2 linked regions of the Coturnix japonica genome follow. The protein of the gene in region 1 binds, or shares a complex with, the protein of each later gene. Links are inferred from orthologs where the notes say so. Each region holds a gene or a part of one and is shown in the gene's direction. Other genes may lie near its edges.

Region 1 (4,286 bases):
CAGGGTGAAGTAACACTAGCACCTCAATTCCTGCTGCTCATTCAATACACCTAAGGTTAGCTCACGAGCTACGGATACCAACTCTCATCACTCCTGTTGGTTGTGCTGTGGCAGTGGAAAATTCCAAGAAGGAAATGTATAATTAACAGCAGAGGATGGTAAAACTCTGTCCCATGTAATTTTTGTTGGAGCTCCAGCAGTATGTGCCATGAACAGTGGAGCTGGTTCATCAGCTGGTCCACTGTAAATCAATCACGTGCCTATAAAAGCTCTGCCTGTCAGAAGGGAAAGGAGGTGCTCGCTACCACAGAACTAAAGCATTTAGAAGTATGGAATGTGAAGGTCTCCTGTATCCACTAACAAATTAATTCTGGTCTTAGGCTACCAGACAGGAGTTTGTAAACATGTTGCTTGGTCTAGCTAGTAGGTGGGACTTCTGAATGAAGGTAACGTGTCAAATATGGTCTGTAGGGCATGTTGGGTTTTTTATTGTTGTTTGTTTTTGTTTTCTGTGGAGATTGATGTAACATAATACCTTGAGCATAGAGCTGGAATTCAGTGTTGCTTTTAATTTATGTTCGAGCAGGTCTTATACAGGTGGGTTACTGCTGGAGCTCTAAGCTGTATTCAGAAGTTATCCTAAGGGCTTGGTGAAGGTGGCAGCAGGGAAGTTAACTGATGGAAGGATCCTCGTAGTTGAGAATGCTTTCCTGTATTACATGCATCTTGCAGATTGCCATGGAGAAAGGGGATAAGCAAAGGGAATGGAAAAGGACGAAAAGGCAATTAAAAGGGCAAAAATGGAAGCCAAGCCAAACGGTACAGCCAGGAATTCTCAGTGCCACAGATTTTGTGAGGAACTGCTGAAGAGGCAATTCTGAGAGTGAGGGCCCACGATTCCTGTCACCAGACCAGGTAACAAGAGCTTGAACACTCCGGGACCTGGCTCTTGTAGCAGGGCCAGCTCAAGGCCTGTGACCAGAGGTACCAGCGCCTGCTGGGCCAGGCAGGGCTCTTGCGTACCTGGAACTGCACAGTGAGGGGCTGACACCGAGGAGCAAACCGCTCCTATAGACCGAGCGGACGCGATGTGCGTTCCCATGTCCCTCGCTGGCCTCCGGCTCGCTCCGGGCCGTTATGAGCTGCCGCCTCGCGGTGTGCAGCATCCCGCTGGGCTCATCGCAGCCGGCCGGGCCGCAGAGCAGAGGCGGGCCGCCCCCAGCAGCGCCGTGATTGCGGGCGTCGCACGATGGGACGGACTGAGGCGCAGCGCCCGGCGGGACAGCGCGAAGACTTCCGCCTCGGTACGCCGGGCGGAGCGGCAAGCGGGAGAGCGACCTCCCTGTGTACTTCCGCCTCACTAAGTGTCATGGCGGCGGGGCGGGCTCTTCACGTGACGGCGCCCCGCGCGGCGCGCTCTCGTTCGCTGCTCTCGCGGTATCTGGCCGCCCCCCCGCGCGCGTCCCCCGCTCGGTCTGGCCGCTCGCGCAGCTGCTCGGCTCTCGCTATATAAAGGGGCGAAGCGGGCAGAGCGGGCGGCTGGCGGCGGCGGCTGCAGCCCCAGGGCCGGCGAACGAGGCCGGGCCAGGCCGCGGGGCTGCCCGTGAGCCCGGGCGGGACGTGCGGGCTTAGGGGGGACGCAGCCGGGCAGGTTTATTGTTTTAGGGGCGACTCCCCCCCCCGCGGTTGGGGGCGTCCCGGGGGGCTCGGGACATGGCGAGCTCGACTAACACAAACCCCGTGGTAAGGACCGGGCCGGGGGGCGAGGGGGACCCCGCGGGCGGCGCGGGCGGAGGGGGCCGGCGGGGCTCGCCGCCCCCTCCCCCGCACCCCCGTCCCTCGGGCCGCCCCGGCCCCCTCCCCCCCGGCCCGCGGCGGGAAGGGGCGGCGGGGTCCGGGCCGCTCCCCGCGCGGCGGCGGCAGCAGCAGACAACTTGTGGCGCCCGACGCCGGGGCGGGGAGAGCGCAGCCGGGGGCGGCGGGAGTGGGGCGGCGGGAGCGGAACGGGGGGCGCGGGGCGGCGGCCCGGGGGCGGGCGGCGGACGGAGCCCCGCGGGGAAAAGGCCGGGGCCGCCCGCCGCGGGCCGGGGTCCGGCGGGAAGGGGCGGGCGGGCGGGTCGGGAGGGGGGGGGGGGAGCCGCCCCGGGAAGGAGCGAGCGCCGCCGGCCCCGCGCCCGACCGGGAGCGAGCCGGGTGTCGGGGTGGCGGTGGCCGCGGTGGCGGCGGCAGCCCGGGCTCCGCTGGAGCCATTTTATGTTGCTCGATCGGAAAGAGACGATGGTTGAAAAGCACTTGTCCCAGCCCCGCGGCAGCGGTCCGCCAGGCCCGGCCCGGAACTTTTCTGCAGCGAGCGAGGCAGTATTTATTTTACAAAGAAAACTCTCGCCCCCCTGTGTCCCTTCTCGTGCTTTCTGCACCTTGGCGGGCGGCTCGCTGCGGGACGGCTCGCTCCGGTTCGCAATAAGCAGTCACACGCACGGCCGATCCGATCGCCCCTCGGTCTCCGCTCCGTCCCCGGCGCAACCCCGGCCCCGACCCCCGCCCCGAGCGCCGGCGGCACAAACCCGGCGTCCGGCGGCAGGCGCGGCCCTGCTTGTGGCGCTCGGATCCATCATGGCTTCCCCTGCCTTTCTGCCTGCCCGCTCCTTGTGTTCCTCCTCCCTGCGGCCGCCCTGTTTATATAGAGCCATTGCCGCTCTCTAATATAGACTCTGCTAGGATGGGAAGGTGCTTTCCAGCCCCACGTCACCGCCTCTCCATTTAAACACCACATCAGCCTTTAAATAGGGAGAGAGCCGCCGAGAGCGGGCTGGGAGGTGCGTGCATCGCGGCGGAGGCTGCCGGCCGTGCTTTTTGTCGCTCGGAGCCGGGTTTGTGCTCCTGCCTCGCTCCGCACTCGGGGAGCAGCGGCACTGCCCACGGCTCTCGGTGCTGGGTGGCTGTGCCTTGCACGAAGAGGGCACCGCCATCCTCCCAGCCTTCTGAAAACGCTTACCTTCCCCCCCCATCCCAACCCCCCCCCCCCTTTTTTTTTTTTTAATTTAATTTTTTTTTTTCATTTCTTTTTTTATTTATTAGCGTGTGTATTTTTTTGTCCACAGCATGCAGCTCTCTGTACCCTTATGGTCTTCCATGGAGTTTTGCTGTTTTGCTGCTGGATGGGGAAAGGAGGATTTAGATGTTCTTATCCAGCATGGCAAGGAGAGATGCAGGATTTGTTTCATGGCAGTTGGCCAGTGTCTGGTACAGATCTTATACTGAAAGCAGCATTAATATTGAAGTTCTGTTTATTGGTCCTGGGCACAGATTGTGTGAACGATTGTTGTGTGCTTCTGGTAACTGAAGGTGATGCGGCACACTGATATTTTGGAAGATTTTGGAATTTCTGCTATTATTTGAATTAATTAGAATGTTCTGAGTATTACAGAGAAGTTTACAGAAGGAAATGATACAGAGTTTCCTTTCTAAATCCAAAATCTTACCTGTAACCTGGAGACATGAGAAGCAAGGAAGTAGCATGGCTTTGCTATTTTATCAGCTGTTCTGAAACAAAATGTGGGACAGCAGTGTGCCATTGCATGCAGGTCAGCTGCTGGTAGGATACTTAATGTGTGTGATCCAAATCTGCTAGCTGTTCTGCCCATGACCTGCTGGCTTTCTTTAACTGACAGGAAGGGTTCTTTGTCTCTACAGTAAGTTAGATGTTTCACGTCTCTTTTTCTACCAAGTTATTACCTAATAGGTAAATACATCTTTTTATTGAATAATCATCTTAGCACTTACAAATATCTTTGTTATAACAACTTGCTGAGGCTTATCAGTGCTGCATCTCTGTCCTAGCACAGCACAACTTCTGCTGAAAAGTGCTTGTGTTTGATCACAGTGTTAAGAATAATAGGAACTTAAAATGACCCTGACTCCCATTTTAGGTTGAATCCCAAGGAAACGGTACAATTTTGCAGCACTCTGAAAATCAGCTCTATTCTGTAGTAGTGATAACCATATGTACCTCAGAGTTGCAGAAGATGAGCAAGAATGTGTGGAAGTACTGCAGCCAGCTGGTAACTTCAGCAGGGCAGATTTTGGACCTGGTGTGTCATAGTAAGACATCAGCATCTAATCAAATCTGTCCTTCCCAGGAAGGGATGCACATACCTTATGTGGTATAAGGTTTTGTAGGTGACAAAGGTAATTACCTTGTAAAGGTGTGACAGGTGTCACATTTAATTGCTTACAGTGTAGCCTGTATGTGCTACTTCTTTTTCACTCTTCTTTGGTGTAATTGT
Region 2 (2,446 bases), on another chromosome or scaffold:
CTGCGTCCCTCTGTGGTGAGGCTTTACATGTCTGGGTGGCCCAAGGCAGCGCTGATGCAGATTCCTTTGGTGGCAGACTGGGCTGCATCCTCATGAGCCTGCTGTTGTGTGCAGTACCTGGAAACAGCCCTGGAGAGATTCTTGACAAAATCAGTGTCAGAGTTAGAAGGACCTAAAGAAGTGGTGATTGCTGTTGGAGCTGTGTGTTCCCTGATGATAATGGGTTTCTTTCCAAGTTCATCTTGCTTCTAGTGAAGACAATACAGAGACAGATGTCTCTGCTATCCAAGGATAGTTATTGTTTTGGTTTTAGTTTTGAGGCTGCTGGCAGAGTGCTGGAATGCAGCTGGACTCTCAAAGCAGACGTCATGGTGAAACAAGGTTCAGTCTCTGCCCTGTTTTCAGTAATGGACAGCGTGGCAAGTAACATGAAGGCTCATGAATGCTATATATTTGTTGCAGGTGGAAGGTTTTGTTGGAAAATGCAGTTTTATTGAGGACCACTGGTGACAGGACACGATGATCTTGGTCTCATTGGGTCTGAGGGAGGCTGGCAGGAGACTGTGGTGGGCATGGAGTTTTCTATGCTGGCTTCTCAGGCTGCTCAAGGTGGAGGAAATAGAAAGGGCTACATTAATGTGAACTTTTTTTCCATGATTTGATCCAGTGCTGACCTTCCCTGCTCTCATTCCAGGCCCAAGAGTGAATACTCAGAGATCGATGAGGAGGATGCTCAGGCTCCATATGACCCCAATGGGAAGCCCGAGAGGTAGGAAGCTGGATGTGCTCCCACTGCTGGGAGGAGGGGGATGGAGCTGGGTGCACTGCGTTTGCTGTTGGTGTGAGTTGGATGTGCTGCACCAGCGCAGAGAGCTGCTGCTCCCTGGAAAGCAAGGCAGGAGTTGCAATTAACTGGTGATGTGCCCAGGCCTGGCAGGTTTTGCCCTCTGGGTGACTCTTCAGAGTTCCTGTTACCAGGTAGGGCACTGCAATATTTGGTCAAGTGTCTTGGAGAGATGGCTTAGGGTGATGCTGAAGACACTGATGTCATCAGCAGTATTATTCACCCACGTGAGTCTCTCATGCTCTGATTGCTGCTGCTGCCCTCTCTACCAGGTGATAATGTGTTGCAGGAGTGCCTGCAGCCAGACAGCCAGTCTTAGCTTCCCCGTGCAGCTTTCACATCACATAGCTGAGCAGAGAAAGCCTCACAAGGGCTCTTGCATTTTGGAGGGTCGTGAGGGCTGCTATGAGCTCCATGGGAGTCTGTGGCTGCTGTTGTAGCAGGGCAGTGCTGGCTCATGCCCAGAGGGGAGCTCAGCATCTCCCTGCAGTGGGTCCTGGTGGGTTAGAGCTGCTGTGTGGGTGCTCTCTGGTTTTGTACCTCCTCACAGAACACTTGGTAACTTTCTCCCTGACTTGTAACCTCAGGTTTTATTACAACGTGGAATCTTGTGGCTCTTTGCGCCCCGAAACCATCGTTCTCTCTGCACTGTCTGGCCTGAAGAAGAAGCTGAGTGACCTCCAGACCCAGCTGAGCCATGAGATCCAGAGTGATGTGCTCACTATAAACTGAGGTGGCCCTTTGCAGGAGATTGTCCAGGCAGGAGTGATGCAGAAGGTTCCTGCCTCTGCCTGGCTGCACTCGGGGCTGAGGGATTGTCTCCTCATCTCCCTCTGCTTCTCCTGGTGCAGATCTGCTCGTTAGTAGCACTTCTCTTCCCAGAGAAAGCCATGATGACACGTAGGGTAAAGCAGGAGGAAAGTCTTTGCTGGGTGGGGGTGGGCTTTGTCTCTGATCCGAGTTTTGGACTGTGGTCACGTAGTGTTTGGGACTGGGAAGCATGTACCTCAATTACACAACCCTGTCCTGTTTGTATGTCTGTTCCTTAAGTGTACTGAATAAAGCCTTAACGCCTGTGTTCAGTCATCTCTGAAAGCTCATCTGGGGCTGCAGGAGGAGATAACACATCATTTAGTTCCCTCCAACAGACATTAACTTAATGAGGCCTGCTTTGGAGGGAGCGTTGCTCTGTAACAGCTGATTGCTGCTCTTGACCTACTGAGCTCTGTGATCTACTGAGGGTGCCAGAACCCCTGCAGCAGGTAGTGCTGGAACTGCCAGGGACAGGACTATGTTTAAAGCAGATGTTCAAGGCTGGGCTGCTAAGAGCCACATCACAGGAGGGAGGGTGGGCCAGGGAGACTTAGCTGTGTTTAAGGACTCCTTTGGAGCAGACTCTGCCCATGTGCTGTGTGCCATGGGGCTGGGCAGTGTCTGTCACTGGTAACCCCCAGCTGGCAGCTCTTTGCAGCATGCAGGGGCTGAGCTGGCTCTGTGCTTAACCAAAGCAGTGGCCAGAGGGCTCCAAGAGCTGCACAGTCACCCCTTCTCCCCTTCCTCAGCACCCAGGATGTGGGACAGGCTCCTTGCTTTGCTGAGAGA

The links. The genes of interacting proteins can lie anywhere in the genome.
Region 2: GTF2A1 (region 1) and POLR2C share a complex: the UniProt entries of both Homo sapiens proteins name them as parts of the TBP-based Pol II pre-initiation complex. The link is inferred for Coturnix japonica from reciprocal best matches to the Homo sapiens genes GTF2A1 and POLR2C.

What each region holds. Positions count from the first base shown.
Region 1 is NC_029520.1:37,077,856-37,082,141, reverse strand, and holds the start of GTF2A1 (transcription initiation factor IIA subunit 1), read left to right. Parts: upstream 1-1,460; 5' UTR 1,461-1,713; coding exon 1,714-1,743; intron 1,744-4,286. UniProt on the Homo sapiens protein: TFIIA is a component of the transcription machinery of RNA polymerase II and plays an important role in transcriptional activation. TFIIA in a complex with TBP mediates transcriptional activity.
Region 2 is NC_029526.1:1,904,320-1,906,765, forward strand, and holds the end of POLR2C (DNA-directed RNA polymerase II subunit RPB3), read left to right. Parts: exon of another isoform or gene 1-694; coding exon 695-769; exon of another isoform or gene 770-1,260; intron 1,261-1,431; coding exon 1,432-1,576; 3' UTR 1,577-1,930; downstream 1,931-2,446. UniProt on the Homo sapiens protein: Core component of RNA polymerase II (Pol II), a DNA-dependent RNA polymerase which synthesizes mRNA precursors and many functional non-coding RNAs using the four ribonucleoside triphosphates as substrates.